Linked DNA regions of Arabidopsis thaliana. The protein of the gene in region 4 binds, or shares a complex with, the protein of the main gene of each other region. Each region holds a gene or a part of one and is shown on either strand. Other genes may lie near its edges. The genes, in order: LSM3A, EMB2816, SAD1 and LSM6B.

What was found.
Region 1: LSM6B (region 4) and LSM3A share a complex: the UniProt entries of both Arabidopsis thaliana proteins name them as parts of the heptameric LSM1-LSM7 complex.
Region 2: LSM6B (region 4) and EMB2816 share a complex: the UniProt entries of both Arabidopsis thaliana proteins name them as parts of the heptameric LSM1-LSM7 complex.
Region 3: LSM6B (region 4) and SAD1 share a complex: the UniProt entries of both Arabidopsis thaliana proteins name them as parts of the heptameric LSM1-LSM7 complex.

The regions. Positions count from the first base shown.
Region 1 is NC_003070.9:7,418,889-7,423,035, forward strand, and holds LSM3A (Small nuclear ribonucleoprotein family protein), read right to left. Parts: upstream 2,070-4,147; 5' UTR 1,969-2,069; coding exon 1,852-1,968; intron 1,600-1,851; coding exon 1,504-1,599; intron 1,182-1,503; coding exon 1,101-1,181; 3' UTR 776-1,100; downstream 1-775. Other genes in the region: SEC5B (Exocyst complex component SEC5), read left to right, coding at 1-197, 308-523; AT1G21200 (sequence-specific DNA binding transcription factor), read left to right, coding at 2,595-3,926. UniProt on the Arabidopsis thaliana protein: Component of LSM protein complexes, which are involved in RNA processing. Component of the cytoplasmic LSM1-LSM7 complex which is involved in mRNA degradation by promoting decapping and leading to accurate 5'-3' mRNA decay.
Region 2 is NC_003071.7:1,177,625-1,182,035, forward strand, and holds EMB2816 (Small nuclear ribonucleoprotein family protein), read left to right. Parts: upstream 1-2,346; 5' UTR 2,347-2,500; intron 2,501-2,592; exon of another isoform or gene 2,593-2,634; 5' UTR 2,635-2,681; coding exon 2,682-2,684; intron 2,685-2,769; coding exon 2,770-2,851; intron 2,852-2,953; coding exon 2,954-3,025; intron 3,026-3,342; coding exon 3,343-3,395; intron 3,396-3,542; coding exon 3,543-3,632; 3' UTR 3,633-3,888; downstream 3,889-4,411. Other genes in the region: REME1 (Pentatricopeptide repeat (PPR) superfamily protein), read left to right, coding at 3,936-4,411. UniProt on the Arabidopsis thaliana protein: Component of LSM protein complexes, which are involved in RNA processing. Component of the cytoplasmic LSM1-LSM7 complex which is involved in mRNA degradation by promoting decapping and leading to accurate 5'-3' mRNA decay.
Region 3 is NC_003076.8:19,811,413-19,815,169, reverse strand, and holds SAD1 (Small nuclear ribonucleoprotein family protein), read right to left. Parts: upstream 1,825-3,757; 5' UTR 1,764-1,824; coding exon 1,730-1,763; intron 1,614-1,729; coding exon 1,490-1,613; intron 1,064-1,489; coding exon 991-1,063; intron 844-990; coding exon 808-843; 3' UTR 616-807; downstream 1-615. Other genes in the region: KAT5 (peroxisomal 3-keto-acyl-CoA thiolase 2), read left to right, coding at 1-60, 144-252, 335-418, 503-594; AT5G48860 (uncharacterized protein), read left to right, coding at 2,305-2,571, 3,259-3,519. UniProt on the Arabidopsis thaliana protein: Component of LSM protein complexes, which are involved in RNA processing. Component of the cytoplasmic LSM1-LSM7 complex which is involved in mRNA degradation by promoting decapping and leading to accurate 5'-3' mRNA decay.
Region 4 is NC_003071.7:18,147,025-18,152,001, forward strand, and holds LSM6B (Small nuclear ribonucleoprotein family protein), read left to right. Parts: upstream 1-2,172; 5' UTR 2,173-2,351; exon of another isoform or gene 2,352-2,550; intron 2,551-2,675; 5' UTR 2,676-2,700; coding exon 2,701-2,815; intron 2,816-3,599; coding exon 3,600-3,713; intron 3,714-3,808; coding exon 3,809-3,855; 3' UTR 3,856-4,271; downstream 4,272-4,977. Other genes in the region: AT2G43800 (Actin-binding FH2 (formin homology 2) family protein), read left to right, coding at 1-120, 205-392, 544-797, 879-1,697. UniProt on the Arabidopsis thaliana protein: Component of LSM protein complexes, which are involved in RNA processing. Component of the cytoplasmic LSM1-LSM7 complex which is involved in mRNA degradation by promoting decapping and leading to accurate 5'-3' mRNA decay.

The DNA.
Region 1 (4,147 bases), on a different chromosome or scaffold from region 4:
TACTGAAGCCATATTTGACGGTTGATGCAACCGAGTCTCTAAAGTCTCTGCAAGGAGCTGTGTTGGAGAAAGCTATAGAGAGTATAAGCGAGACAGTTGAGAACAACCCGGGAGGGCATCAAAGGAAACCAACACGTGGCAGTGAAGATGCAATTTCAGATGACAAACAATCATCCGTATCCCCAGATGATCTCCTTGTAAGAACATTTTTCATTAACCACCACTTAATATTTACCATCTTCAATACTTAAAACCGCTAGCACATTCAGTTAAAAGCGGGTTTGCTTTGTTACTGTTGCTGCTTTAGGCTCTTGCACAGCAATGTACAAGCGGAATGCTTCAACTGGAGCTAGAGAAGACCCGTTTGAACAGTGCATGTTTCATTGAGACCATTCCGTTGGATCCAGTGCCACCAGTAGCCAAAGCTGCCTACTCCAGAACATCAACTGATTCTCCAAGCAGAAACTATAGAGAGTCACAACCAATGGGTTCTCCGGTTCAAGCCAGACCCAGACGAAGATAAGACTTCTCTTCTCCATTGTTACTATGCTCGAAGCGTGTTGGTGATCATGACAAGTTATATCTTACGATAGATACCTCAAAACTTTTAATTTCATCACTAATCTTTTTTTTACTGTAAATTTACATGCTTACAATTACATTAATCTTTTCTCATGAAATCAATCTTGTTTGCGTTTTCAGCCTCCTGTACTGTGAATCAATTTGATGGTTTGGTTAATCAAAATGTCTTTCCTAGGGTTACACACATCTAAATATGTCACCAATCACTATTCATAATAGAGCTCGAAATCAATGAGTTTGAGGAAGTATACAAATCTTTAGAGAAAACTACACCAAACCAGAAAACGAAACTAAATCCGATCGTAAACGGTAAGAAAGTCACAATACGAAGTATGTTACACTGATTCTACTATAACGAGGCACCCATTACCAAGATTCGAATGCTACATTCGGTTTCAATGTTTGACAACAAAGAAAAACATACCACACAATTACAAATTCAAAAGCCAAGTAATCAGAAAAAAGTGCTTTTACTCAGCGCCAGATTTGTTAACTCCGATCCCAGTACACAAGAACATTTAGGTCGTCCTCAAAGGCGGTGACACCAATATCACTCCATCTCCTCTCACGAATAGAAACGGTACCGTTCGCTTCGTTGTCTGACAGAAGCAAGTTACATCAGCAGGAGAAGAACATATGATTCTACACTAGTCTAATGAGAAGTTAGCACATCACATTTGGAGCGCAAACAACAAAATTCAAGTTTGAGAAACTAAACAGAGTTACTATATTGGTAATGAACACTCTCTATGTAACCAGCACTATTAACTTCTACATGAATCAAGCTCTCCTTTAAACTCAAACAGAGACATAGACAATAGATACTGTGATAGCTGAAATATTTTGAACCCAAAAACGTTTATCTTACTACTAAAGCCTACATAGATTAATAAATCTTATTGAGCTAAGAGAATTACATACCCGAACAATCTCTTCATATGTCTCGTCGTCGATTTCTATAGTCGTAATAACCTCTTCAACATCACCCAGAATCATATTCAAATGCTGATCAAAAGCCTACACCACAAAAACAACAACAAAAGTGAGAGTCTTAGAATTTAACAAGATTATGAGGTTTTCTACGCCAATTAGCTCTCGCTGAGGCTTTCGAAACTGAAACTCAACAAAATGGGTCCAAATTTTGATATTTGTGAAAAGAATAAAAACTAGTGTTAAATTCAACGAATAAGGAATTCAAAAAGGAGCTCAAAATCGAAAAAGATCACATCTGGTTACTGGTTTCTGGAATCCGAGTGGTTAAGAACGTACGTGAAGCTTGCCGCGGAGTTCACGGTCAGATCGGAGCTTGACATAGATCCTCTCTTCGATACTCAACCGAATCAGATCGAGTGGCTCTCTAACGGTGGCGTCTTCCTCGACTGACATTTTCTGATTATAACTTCTCCGAGGGTTTTGAAATTGTAGTGCTCTCGGCGATATCTCTCTGACTGAGCTCAAGCAATCGCCACCGTTGGTTCCCTAAAAACTTCAAACCAACATCTTACGATTCGGCCTTTTACTATGTTTTTGGGCTCTCATATCGGCCCAATATGGTTAGCTCTTTTTTTTTTTTTCGTCGAAGTATTATGAAGATAATAAATCATCTAATGCAAATAAATCATGGTTAGTGGAACTTAACTATATTAAGTCCAATCACAAGGTATCAATTGGTCATTTCATTACACTAAATTTACTATAATCTTTATATTGGTTGTTTTAATCAAAAAGCCTTTTGTCATATACAGAGAGAGAAGAGAAACCTGAGGAAGCTGACCGGAGAAGACGAAAGCAAACTTTTTTCTGTGAGTTTTACTTCCTTTGACTCATCTCTCATATATTTACCGCTTTATTTTCTTCATCCCGATTCCTCTCTGCTTCATTCTCTCCTAAAGTTTCGATCTTTAATATTCCCCTAAGATCCAGTACTAATTTTGTTGACAAAGGTTTTGACTTTTTGAGATCTGTTTTCTCTTCGATTTCTCTGATGAATTAGGAAGAAATTTGATCCAAAAATGGATGGGAATTTTCCACAAGGAGGTGTAGTTCGTAGTGGAGCTTCATCTTATGGAGGATTTGATTTACAAGGTTCTATGAGAGTTCATCACCAAGACTCCATGAATCAGCAGCATCGACACAATCCTAATTCTAGACCACTTCATGAAGGTCTTCCCTTTACTATGGTTACAGGTCAAACCTGTGATCATCATCAGAATCAGAACATGTCTATGTCTGAGCAACAGAAAGCTGAAAGAGAGAAGAATTCAGTGAGTGATGATGATGAACCAAGTTTCACAGAGGAAGGTGGTGATGGTGTTCATAATGAAGCTAATAGATCAACTAAAGGATCTCCATGGCAACGAGTGAAATGGACTGATAAGATGGTGAAGTTGTTGATTACTGCTGTTTCTTATATAGGAGATGATTCGAGTATAGATAGTAGTAGTAGAAGAAAGTTTGCTGTTTTGCAGAAGAAAGGGAAGTGGAAATCTGTTTCTAAAGTTATGGCTGAGAGAGGTTATCATGTTTCGCCGCAGCAATGTGAGGATAAGTTCAATGATTTGAATAAACGGTATAAGAAGCTTAATGATATGCTTGGTAGAGGAACATCTTGTCAAGTTGTTGAGAATCCTGCGCTTTTGGATTCGATTGGTTACTTGAATGATAAAGAGAAGGATGATGTTAGGAAGATTATGAGTTCTAAACATCTTTTTTATGAAGAGATGTGTTCGTATCATAATGGGAATAGGTTGCATTTGCCTCATGACCTTGCTTTGCAGCGTTCGTTACAGTTGGCGCTTAGAAGCAGAGATGATCATGATAATGATGATTCTAGGAAACATCAAATGGAGGATCTTGATGATGAGGATCATGATGGTGATGGTGATGAACATGATGAGTATGAGGAGCAACATTATGCGTATGGAGATTGTAGGGTAAATCATTATGGAGGTGGTGGTGGTCCTTTGAAGAAGATAAGACCAAGCCTTAGCCATGAAGATGGAGATCATCCGAGTCATGTGAATTCTCTGGAGTGTAATAAAGTCTCTTTACCTCAAATACCGTTTTCTCAAGCTGATGTGAATCAAGGTGGGGCGGAGAGTGGAAGAGCAGGTTCGGTGCAGAAGCAGTGGATGGAGTCGCGGACTCTCCAGCTAGAAGAGCAGAAGCTTCAGATCCAAGTTGAATTGCTGGAATTGGAGAAACAGAGATTCAGGTGGCAGAGGTTTAGCAAGAAAAGGGATCAAGAACTCGAGAGAATGAGAATGGAGAATGAAAGGATGAAACTTGAGAATGATCGGATGGGATTGGAGTTGAAACAAAGGGAATTGGGTGTTGAATTATAACGGAATTGGCTTCACTTCTCTTGATTGGTATATAGCTTTGCTAAATGAAGTCTCATTTTCTGCTTTTGTAAGCTTGCTTTGATTGGAATGATCTCGAGACTTTGATGTGAGAGATCTTTGTGGTTGCATCAGTGATGAAGTTTGTGAATGTAGTGAGAAAGGAGTGGTTAATATAAGCAGCTCTCTAAGGTTTGTTTTAACTCTACTTCTCAGTACTCAAC
Region 2 (4,411 bases), about 17 Mb from region 4:
TTATCTTCATAAACCAGACACTTAGAACGTAAAGGTTTGAGAGGGGCGTATTATGATATATGGTGCGACAGGTTAACATCAGTTATCTGATGGTTGGTTTAGTATGGTTATTAGTGATGTATATATAAGCTTAAGTACACTTTATTTAGATTAAGATTTTGTAAAAACATTTACATGATAATAAAGATTCTGTTAGATATGAGTTTTAGCTCTCCTCTGTTCCCTTCTCTAGCTTGATCTCTCCGGTGTATCAGACTTCAATAGTTTATAATTTACTTTTCGATAACGATTATGATTTGTCCAAAAAATAAAAGTGAAACCAAAATTTAATTAAACAAGAGGGAGATTATAAAATAGTCCTCACTACGGCTGGACACGAAAAAATATCCTGAAAATTAGTGATATTTGTTATTCGATTCGTTTTAACAGAATAATTGATTTTATGATTTGCTTTCATCCAAAATATTCGGATACCCGAATTTTTTTTGTGATGATTATGGATATCCACTTTGATATATCTATTTTTTTTATATATAAATTATTTGATATAGTTTTAAAATAAGTTCCAAAACACACATTGTTGATATCACTGATCAAGAAAATGCTATTAAATTAATTCTAAAAACCAAAATCCGATAGTTTAAGATGCCACTAACATGAAAGAAAAATGACCAAACTAATAACTTAACACAATATATCCAAAGGAGAAAAACTAAAGTTACAAATACTACAAACCCAAAATATACAATTATACAAACTATATTATGATATCTACATATATATACATGACTATATATTCTAACTAGATAAGGATCCGTCCGATGGACGAATTTATTTTTTTATAACTAAAATTAAATTCAGTAAAAATAATAAATAATGACGTTGTAAGTAGAAATTATCTTTCAAAAGTAAAATATATTTATTTTTACTGTTTATTGTGTTTTTCACCACTAATATTATTGATTAAAAATTATTTGAATGAAAAATATATCACATTGACTAAAACCCTTTATATATAAAGATGATCTATCAACGTTGACTAAAAACTTTTGAAATCATGACATATGATAAAACTTTTGATTGATAACTTATTCATGATAATATTAGTTACTAATTTTGAGAAAAAAATCTATTATATTATTTATAAAATGTGATATCCGTCAATGCTGAAGATAAATGGTTTTAGTAGAAAAGCATTTTCAGGCCGATTTGACCCGACTGAGTTCAAACGGATGTATGTGGAGCTTTTACAAAATAAAGTTGACTCATTTTTAGTTATCTATTTTGTATTTACTTTATCAGCGTTGGATTAAGTAAGACAATGACAATCTTTGGAAGTTACATCGTCTCGTTGGAATACGCACAAATGAAGTCTCACTCAGGCTACGATGACCAATCCAAGCAATAGAGGAGAGATTAAGAGTCTTAGAGTCAAACTGGTCTGCAAAGAACTTTATAAAGTGATGAGGATCAAATGTAGAAGATTTGAAGATGACATAGAAGAAATTTTCGAATTCACATGTAATTATAAGTCTTTTGGTTTTGATTCATGAATAAAGTGATTCTTTCTTCGTTAATGATTGAGATTTCGGTTTAGATTTTTTTTTTAGTCTAAATTAAGGTCAACAACACGTTTGAATCTTTATTCATCTTTTTTTTACGGCTCTAATATCTCTTAATTTTACTCGATTTGGTGTTATTTAAATTTCGATTCGGCCGTTGAATACCTGAAATTTTGCTAGGTCAAGTTATTCAAATCTTTTTAACAGAGATATTTACTATTTGCGAGTTTATAAATGTGTGTGCATTTTTCGTAAAAGAATCAAAAATTTCTTTTTTGGAGTTTTGTGTCGATAGATGGTTAAGAGATTTTACCAAATGATTTACTTTACGACTTACAAGTACTTCACAAGTTCATAGTTAAATTTTAAAAGCGTTGCTCAGAATTAGAGGTGGATCAAACTTATGTTTCGTTTTAATTTTATTTTTGGTTAAATTTGTTAGTAATTGTTTTTAATAGGTTGTGCCGTTGTGGTAAATTTGCTTTGTGTTTACCAGTTATCTTGTTTTTTAAACATCTATTTTATTAGATTAAAAGTAAGGAGTATAATGACAATGCTAAATTTAGTTGTCTTTATTGTAATTTCTATTCAGATGATGTTTATTCTTCTTAGCTAACTGAACAATTGTATTACGATTTTATTAATTCCTAACTAATATCCCCTTCCAATTTTATTTCGGGTTTAGTTAACAATTTAATGTTTAGTTATCGGTTTATGGTTCAATTTACGGTTCAGTTCAAATAATATGGTAACCATGGTTAGGGATTTAAACCAGAGTCCTTTACGAGATCAGAGTTAAAAAACAAAAAGCGTCACTAGGAAGCTGCGACTATTTGACTGACTCTGATTTCACGCGACTCCTTGTGAGATTCTCCGATTGCTTCGCCTGAGTTTCTGGGTTAACTCTCCACGCCGTCACTTTGATCTTTGCTTTTCCGGTGAGGTTTCTTCATCCACTTGTTGATTTCCGAATTCACACATTTTCCGAATCCACTTGGGGCCAAAGAATTGCAAACCCTAATTTTTAATCATCAACTCTATTCTGAACCAATTTGATTTCCGTTTTTTGCAGATCTTTAGGGTTTTTGTTTAGGGAATTGTCGAAGACTCTGCTCTAACATGGTAAAGTTTAACCTAAATTGAAGTAGCAAAGTATCATTGTTATATGAGTCGAGTTAATTCTTAAGCGAGTGTTTGTTATTCACAGTCTGGAAGAAAAGAAACGGTTTTAGATTTGGCCAAGTTTGTAGATAAGGGTGTGCAAGTTAAGCTCACTGGTGGTAGACAAGGTAATAAAACAAGTGTTTCTCTCATTATGCTCCAAAGATGATGATTCTTTCTAATGTTTTCTCTGAGATTTGTTTGATAGTTGCTATGTTTTTTGCTTGCAGTGACTGGAACTCTTAAAGGCTATGACCAATTGCTTAATCTTGTTCTTGATGAAGCAGTCGAGTTCGTTCGAGGTATCTTTTATCTTACCTATATCTACTGCATTGATCTTGTTAGGCTACAATTCTCTAGTGGAATCCGCCTCTTAGTAAACGAATCTCTGTATTGCTATGAAGTTTATTACTCTGGTTCATACAGATGTCTCCATGATGCCATTGGAAGATATATGGAAATTTTGATTAGAAGAGACTGTTTGATTGCTTAATCATGTTATGTTGGTGATATGAATGGGATGATTTCATTCTCTTAGCTAGATTTTGAAACTAGAAGTGGGATCATATTTCCATAGATCTAACTCAGTTTTATGACCCTTGTGTTATGTTTTGATCAGATCATGATGATCCTTTGAAGACTACGGATCAGACAAGACGCCTTGGTTTGATTGTATGATTCATTTACCTTCTTTTTTCATTACTATAAGTGTAATCCTGTTTAGTGCAAATAATATCATTGTTTCTTCTAGCATCGTGTTATTTGTAATGGAGTTCCATAGTTTAGATGCTAAATCATGATGGTTTGTCTTGTTTTTAGGTTTGCCGTGGAACAGCGGTGATGCTTGTCTCACCAACCGATGGCACCGAAGAAATCGCTAACCCGTTCGTTACTGCAGAGGCTGTCTAAAGACTTTCTTCTCAAAGAATATGTCTCTCTATTAGTTTAACTTGGCGATTTAGAGAGTATTTCATCTAACTCTCTGGTGTGATGTTGGAAACATATATGTTCAATTTAAACAATTTGGAACATCATGGACACTTACCTAACTTCGTTCTCAAATCTCGTTGTGCCAAAGCACAAAATCTCCTTAACCAGAACTGAAGTAAACCGGAAAAATCGAATGTCTGAGTCTTCTCGTTACTGAACCATGGATTTATAAGCGAGTGATTTGAAATTTTTGAAGTTGTTTCCATAGTTTTAGTGGAGACGATGAAGTCAGTAATGTCAAAGATCAAACTTTTTAGACCAGTCGTCACGTTACGTTGTTCTTACAGCTCCACAGATCAAACTCTTCTTCTTAGCGAATTTACCAGACTCTGTTACCAGAGAGACCTTCCCAGAGCTATGAAAGCAATGGATTCATTGCAAAGTCATGGTCTTTGGGCAGACTCTGCAACTTATTCTGAGCTTATCAAGTGTTGTATATCTAATAGAGCTGTTCATGAAGGGAATCTCATTTGTCGTCATTTATACTTCAATGGTCATCGACCAATGATGTTTCTGGTTAATGTTCTGATCAATATGTATGTAAAATTCAATCTTTTGAATGATGCTCACCAACTGTTCGATCAAATGCCTCAAAGGAATGTTATTTCTTGGACTACGATGATTTCTGCTTATTCTAAGTGTAAGATTCATCAAAAGGCTTTGGAGCTTTTGGTTTTGATGTTGAGAGATAATGTGAG
Region 3 (3,757 bases), on a different chromosome or scaffold from region 4:
GCTGCAACTAAGCTCGCAGGGCTCAACGTCAGCGATATTGATCTATTCGAGATCAATGAGGTAACAAAATATTTCACATTGGTTTTTTTCCTGTTTCGGAATAATACATACATATAAATCTTTATTGTTGCATTGTTAAACAGGCATTTGCATCTCAGTATGTGTACTCTTGCAAGAAGTTAGAGCTGGATATGGAAAAGGTCAATGTTAATGGAGGAGCCATTGCTATTGGCCATCCCCTGGGTGCTACAGGTTACTACTTACCAAGCTTGTCGTAACTAAATAAAATGCAACATTTGTTACAGGCTAATAGAGTTCTTTTCTATATGTTCAGGAGCTCGATGTGTTGCGACATTGTTGCACGAGATGAAGCGGAGAGGAAAAGATTGCCGCTTTGGAGTAATCTCAATGTGCATAGGTATATATATAAGATTTTTTTTCAGATTGAATTGGATCAATGATTACCTATGTTAATGGTATATGTAAAATGCGAACGTCACAGGCACTGGAATGGGAGCTGCAGCTGTTTTTGAGAGGGGAGACTCTGTTGATAACTTGTCCAACGCTCGTGTGGCTAACGGGGATAGTCATTAGAACATCGAAGAGAGCTTGAATAAGTAGAAGTAATGATGCATTGAGTCTAATAAATATGATGCTTTAGCTCTTTCACATTGCTGAACAATGAAAACTTTTGTCATTCTGAGTTTAAAATCAACTACTTTTCTCTGAACAAAGTGTTAAATCTAAAACCAAAAGTTACATCCTTCCTCACACAAGTCTGAAAACACCAATCAAATCTCGCAAATCTCATTCTCCATCTTCGGGAGACCCACCTGGCACCAGCTGCATCACAAACATTTTCAACACCAGTTTCTTAGCAATTTGACTATTCAAATGACCAACTGTTTATATCAAGATACTTGAAAATTCATCACAAGGAAGTTTATACAACGTATGGCTATGAGTAACCACAAGTGTTTTTTTACTTACAATGGCGATGTTGTTGCCATTGAGTAGAATCTGATCAAGCTTTGTGACCCGTCTTCCTTCTGCCGTAATCTCACTACACAACGATGCTTAGATAAATTAGTAACACACTCTAGTTACAATTCAATCAAGAATTTGTTACAATCAAAACTTGAATCTATGAGATCCTAACTCCAAAGCAACACGGGTTTAAGCATCAATTAACTAATCCTCACACAACCACAAACAACTCAAGTCACCGAAACCACATATGACCCCGCTGAAATAGACTCTATGCATACACAATAAATGTCATTAATCAGCAAATGAATGAACTGTGATGGACATTCACAAATCAGTATTGAGATCAATTACCCAAAAACAAAATCCAAAAGGCTAAGTTCTGCATAATCACATCCATGGTTCAATGTCTATGATTCACCTCCTAAAGTGTAATAGATCAAGCAACATTCCAATTAAACAAGATATGAAGCAATAATCGAAACCCTAAAATCAGACTTACTATTCGGTGACATCTTCAAGAACCATGTTGACATAAACATCGAATCCTTTGAGAATACCAACGAGCTCCTTATCTCCTTTCATTATCACCCAAATCTTAGACCCTATACACCTATCGATTAGCTCTGCACAAACAAACCAAATCGCTCAAAAATTGAAAACCAAAAAATCGCAGATCTAGTTCGATTTTCTTACATATAAGAAGGTGGAAAGTGAGAGATGTGAAGAAAAAATTGCATACCTGAAGGAAGAAGCTGTGAAGGATTGTTCGCCATGACGAAGAACAGTGAGGCAAGTGAAGGGTTTTTGAATTTTCTCTGATTTTTCTTGCTCCGAAGCTTTTTCTGATTTTTCGATTTTTAGGGTATTAATGTTTTACTTTTAGGAAATTTACAAGAGAACCCTCAAACTATCTTTTTGTTTCAAGATTGACTTTTAACTATGGAAAACTTAATATATAAACCTTCAATCTAATTAGAATATTAAGGATAAATAATCACGTCTCAAATCCCTACATTACTAGTACGGAAGTACCTTTCAAATAGTAATATTGGCTTTTGTAAGATATTATGTTACAATGTCATTGGAAAAAACTGTAACCACCTAATTCACTTTACTTTAGTTATAAGGTCAATTTACTTTCGAATTTAATTATGCTAATCTTGAATCATGGATCCATTATACGGATCTATGAAATTTTCTTGTTTCTTCCAAACATAGGTCTACTGAGATTTTATTATTTCTTTGAACGATTGATCTGTAGTAGAGTTATCAAAATGGACGAGTGGCCCGTGTCCAACGCCTAATGGACCGGGCATGGACAAGCCCATTATGAAGCAGGCATTAATGGACATGGGCGTTAACGGACATGGGCATCAGCGGACTGGACGTGATGGACATGGGCGGCCCAATGGTCAAAAAATATTAGGTTTAAGTGTTCGGGCAAAAATAAATTTGGGGAAAAAACATTTCCCCGACGCTTATTTGGCGATTTCTTCTTTCCGGCGATTTCTCCGGCGAGTTCCTTCAACATCTCAACTCCATCACATCATGGATCCTCCTGAGATTCCTAATCCAGTTCAAGTAAGCAAATTCTCGTCATTTTTACTCAATTCGATCTGGGTTTTTGATTACTCAATTCGAAATGATTTTTTGTTACTGTTTTTTGCTTATTGAGAGTGATTTTGACATGGGTCTCTTTCGATTTCTGTTACTATTGTTTGATATAGTGTTCATTGTCTGCATTATGCATAGTATGAACTATGAAGCTTGGTCCTTTGACACCGTGTATTCATGAAACTGCAAATATCAAAAGCTTAGCTCACTAATATGAGTTACTTAAACAGAAAAAAGAATTGGTAGTAAGCACAAAATGGAATTCTACACATCTAATGCTCTCTAGAGCGATTATTTACAAAGAAACATTCAAGCATCTTGCTGAAGCAAATACTATTGTGTTAAAATTTGGTTTTGTTATGCCTATTGGACAACCCATTTGGACATGGACATTAATGGGCACGGGCGTTAATGGACATGTGCCTTAGTGGACATGAACACTATTTGTCCAATATCGAAATGGACATTATTGGACTGGGCTAATGGACATGGACAGCCCGCTGTGACAGCTCTAATCTGTAGCAATCCATGTGCAAAGCTACATCCAAGATTAGCAAAATTAATTGTTAAATACACATTACCAGAAGAATTGAAAAGAAAGTATATAGTTAAGATACCATTTGTATCATTAGATATTCAATCTCGTTGTTGTAGTCATATACTTGGAAGCTTAGAGGATCGAAAAACAAGGTGCAACACATGTTAATGAGGATAGGAACTTATCAAAGATCCTTGCAAGAAGGTATGGAAGTCGTGCTTTACATTATTTCTATAAAGAACAATGTCCATATCTTCTCAGCTACGAGGTATCCGAGAGTAAGGCGAATAAGAAAACATGTTTCAACCAAATCAAGAAACATTTTTCCAGTCAAATTCAAATCAAGAACTCTGTTTTCAGCCAAATCTAAATCATGATCATGTTTTTGTTTTGTGTAGAGAAGACGTTAGGCGTAAGAACACACAAAAACATTAGCATGAAATTATGTGATGTAGTCAGGACCGGCTCAAACATTTTGTAGATCCAGTGCTATTATGTAATCATATCATGTTTTTTTTTTTTTGGACCCTAGACCATATGTCCTAGCACCTTAAGCACATGTGCTAAGCCGGCACTAGATGTAGTTGTAATATTTTATATAAAAAATGTAACATT
Region 4 (4,977 bases):
TGACCCAGAGAAGAAAGTGGAGACCATGAAACCAAAGTTGAAGACTTTACATTGGGATAAAGTTAGAGCAAGCTCGAGCCGTGTTATGGTGTGGGACCAAATCAAATCAAACTCCTTTCAGTAAGACATAACGAATCTGAATTAAAGACTTGATCTATCCTTTTGCATACACGACTAAGATATGATTCTTTTGTGTTTTTGCAGAGTGAATGAAGAAATGATAGAGACATTGTTCAAGGTGAATGATCCAACTTCGAGAACAAGAGATGGCGTTGTTCAATCCGTGAGTCAGGAGAATCGGTTTCTTGATCCAAGAAAGTCACACAACATTGCTATTTTGTTGAGAGCTCTTAATGTAACTGCTGATGAAGTATGTGAAGCTCTTATAGAAGGTGAGTAATTTCCAATCTGTTGTTGCTTAGGTTACTCGCACTTACTGCAACATTGCATTGGTTTGATGATTCCTCAAATTGGTCTGTGATTATTGAAGCTTGACTTGTTTGACTTAGTTGATGTCTAATCACTTTCTTGTTCATGAATCAGGTAACTCGGATACGCTTGGACCCGAGCTTCTCGAATGCTTGCTTAAGATGGCTCCTACTAAAGAAGAAGAGGACAAGCTTAAGGAGCTTAAAGATGATGATGATGGATCTCCTTCCAAGATAGGACCTGCAGAGAAATTCCTCAAAGCATTGTTGAACATTCCTTTCGCCTTCAAGAGGATTGATGCAATGCTTTACATTGTCAAGTTCGAATCAGAAATCGAGTACCTTAACAGATCCTTCGACACTCTCGAGGTAAAACTCTACTTGTCCACCTCATAAGTGTATGTCTGCTGATCAAACAGATCATTCATATGCATTTGATCAAACTCTCAGGCTGCTACTGGTGAGTTAAAGAACACGCGGATGTTCTTGAAGCTTTTAGAAGCCGTGCTCAAGACTGGGAACCGGATGAATATAGGAACCAATAGAGGGGACGCACATGCTTTCAAGCTCGACACGCTCTTAAAACTGGTAGATATCAAAGGCGCGGATGGGAAAACCACCTTATTGCATTTTGTGGTTCAAGAGATCATAAAATTTGAAGGAGCTCGGGTTCCTTTTACTCCGAGTCAAAGCCATATAGGCGATAACATGGCCGAGCAATCCGCATTCCAAGATGACCTAGAGCTCAAGAAACTCGGGTTGCAAGTCGTTTCAGGTCTCAGCTCTCAGCTGATTAACGTCAAGAAAGCAGCGGCAATGGATTCAAATTCCCTCATCAACGAAACAGCGGAAATCGCCAGAGGAATAGCGAAAGTCAAGGAAGTAATCACGGAGCTAAAGCAAGAAACAGGTGTAGAGAGATTCTTGGAGTCAATGAACTCGTTCTTGAACAAAGGTGAGAAAGAGATCACAGAGTTACAATCTCATGGAGACAATGTCATGAAGATGGTTAAAGAAGTAACAGAGTATTTCCACGGGAACTCGGAAACTCATCCTTTTCGCATTTTCGCTGTGGTCAGAGACTTTCTGACGATTCTTGATCAAGTGTGTAAAGAAGTTGGACGCGTAAACGAGAGAACGGTGTATGGATCCATGCCACTACATTCGCCATCGAACCAGACCGCCACGCCTCTGTTTCCGGTGGTTATCAATAACAACTCACGGCTAAGTCCATCGGGTTCTCTAGACGACGACGATGGCTCGTTCTAAGTGAAAACTGTTGGCTCGGGTTTGGTTCGGTGTATGCTAATGTTTTGGTTTCATTTGCTACGTACTCAAGTAATATATGTGTTATACATATTTATATTTTTATTGATAGGCGAATTTAAATAGATTTTGGCAGATTGTTGCAAGTTGCTATCATCGGGCTCTGTACGTGTTCCAGTCCTCTGTTGAATTATTTATGTCACGTGTAGATGTATTTATTGATCTAAACCTAAAACGATAGAAGAACTAAAGTCTTGTGAAAAGTTAAATTATTGCAAGCTATACTATTTACAAAATGTAAAAAAAGAAACTGAAATTATTCTTTTGTTTGGTTCACATTAGGCATTTCCAAATTGCTGATGTCAAACATCTTTGCAAAGTTCTTCTCCCAACGAATTTTGAAAATTCACCATTTTCACGATTAAAATTTTAAAATTGACTAAAAAGTTTTAATCTCGCACATAATTAAACCACAATAAAAAAACTTGGACTTCGGATTGTTTTCCATGTGGGCTGATTCGAATTTGGGCTTGGGCCTTTTTAATTGTAATTTTATTTTTACTTATTTGTAAATGCGTCACATGTCTTCTTCGCTCTGTTCGGCTGCTTCATCGAGCGGAAGTCTCTAGCCAATTACCGTTTGTTCGTGGACTCGAGGTTCGTTGTTCTTAGATTTCCCAGACTCATCTGTTTCTGCAATCCATTTCAAAGTTTCTCTTTTTACTTAATCCAAGTCATTCGCGCATTTCCTAATTGGTCTGAGGTTTAGGGTTTTAGGGCACATAGTTTTGTTTGATTCGGGAGTAATCGTTGAGATGCTACGAGTTTGGTATTCAAGATGATTCCTTTTCTCAAGGTCTTTATGTAATTTGATTGATTTATGGATCTCGAATTGCTGACATGAATTTGTTGCTTAAAGTTGTTGGCTTTGTGGGATATTCTGAGGGGTCTTGTTTGATTTGGATCTAATTTGGTGGGCAGATATTGTGGTTTCTTAGCAAAGAAGATGAGTGGAGTTGGAGAGAAAGCTTCTGGAACAACTAAGACACCTGCTGATTTCTTGAAATCTATCCGTGGTAAACCAGTTGTTGTCAAGCTCAACTCTGGTGTTGATTATCGAGGTCTGTCTCTCTCTCTTTCTGCATTTTGTGTTCTCCTCTAAGATGTATCCAGTTCAAATTCTTTTTTTTTTTGCCTTGTGTGATGATATCTTATAGTTTGCTTCTGATTTTCGGTGGTTATTAAGCTATCGGAAGTCTATGTAAACTTCTTTATCACTTTGGGTTTAGATGTCTCAATGCCTTTCTTTCTCGCCATGTTACTGGAACCTTTGGATGTTGGTTTACAGAATGACTCTTTTCTTTGTCTAAGAACTGCTTGCTTGATTCTCATTTGATTTGAAAGTCCCATCTCTGAAGATTCATTTTTGTTGAGCTTGCTTGTTTTTTCCCTATCTTGTCTCTGTGTTTGAGAAGGAATAATACATTTCGGCTTGAGATATTTGCTTTGGATTTTGAGAAATATAATCTAGATGAGCAGGAAATTAACATACGGCTTTGAAACATATGCTTTTTGGAATTTGAGAGGAATATTAGATTCAGATGATAGCTTTGTGAATTGAGAGAGCTTCTCTCATGAGATAACAGACCCAAATGTGGTTGAATTTGAGATGCATTTACTCTTGCTTCTGATAGAATATGGACTCTCACCTTGCTATGGAGCCTTTATCACCTGAAATTAAGACCTTGGTCTCTTGAACTCTATAATATAACTTACAGGACTAGGAGAACTTCTAGCTTGAATATCTTTCTTTGGTTTATCTACAAAAGTCAGACTTATTCTTTCTTTGGCATATCATGTTGTATCAATCTACATATGACACTTTGTCTCTCTTCTTGTTTGCAGGCATTCTTACTTGTCTTGATGGATATATGAACATCGCAATGGAGCAAACCGAAGAGTATGTAAATGGCCAGCTGAAGAACACATATGGCGACGCTTTTGTCCGTGGCAACAATGGTAAAAACCAAATCACATTCATCATCACTCTTTAAATCGGTTTAGTATGTTTTTTTATATCCAATTCTGAAAAATATGCTCTATGTTGGCCACAGTTCTTTACATCAGCACAACAAAGGGGACATTGTCAGATGGAGCATAGCTCTCTTTCATCACCATGAATGTTCATCTTCTTCTCTACCTCTGGCATATGACAAATGTAGGATTTGTAGCAACCAGAGTTTATCACCACTGCATGAATTCGACATGTCTTTTTCTTCCGCAACTCAGTTTGTGTCTAAATCATCTCCAAAATTCTGAGATATAGCTAGATTTTTATTTGTTATGAAATTTTTTTTAATCACTGTTGGTCTTTGGAGCCTAATTATCGTGTTTTGATGACGCAATCACTGCGTCACAATCTGATGTCATCTTAACAATCATTAATGTATTTTTTTTTTCTTTTCTCGTAATATTCTTAATTATTCTTCGACAGCAAAGGTTTAAAAACTCCTTATTTCAATCATTAATGTATTTATGATTTGATCGAATAACAATAATATAGCTTATTTTGTTCTATTCTATCGTATTTGATTCTTCTTTCGTTTTTTTTTTGTTTGACTTAAGAAACCGATTGTTTATAGTAGTAAACATTTGTTTTTAATGTTGCTCGATTCCAGTGCACATGTCCAGGCTAGACACTTGTCGTTATAAAGGTTGCTTTGGTTCAATATTGATCCACTAGAGATGTTACAACTATTGTTGACATCTGAGATTGTGTGATAAGAAAATATGAAACTGGATTTAGTGAAAGTTACAATATATAATCATACATCATAGATAGGAAATAAGGAAATGTCAGATATACTTGAAGAATACATCAAATAGACAAGGTCCTTTTTCTTATTGTCGACTATTATAGAGCCGTACAGAACCTTTTCACGTCTTTAGTAATTAGTACATTCTCCATTTCGGCTCTCTCTTATTTTTTTTCCATCTCTTTTACTTCTCCAAATAATAACAATAAAAGCTTCGATTTTGTGTGTGTTTGTATTTACATCTTGACATCGATATTCTTTTCATCAATTTTTTACCAAAAATGTAATAAAAACAAAAAAAAACCAACGCTGAACACAGACATGGTTTCTCCATCCGTTTATATTCATCGTTTGTATGTTTACTTAACAACTTATTTCAAAATAGTACATATCATGGTTGTGTTTTTAAAAAAAGTATACAGAACAGAAAAGCACATGGTAGACAAAATAATGAAGCCAAAATTAAT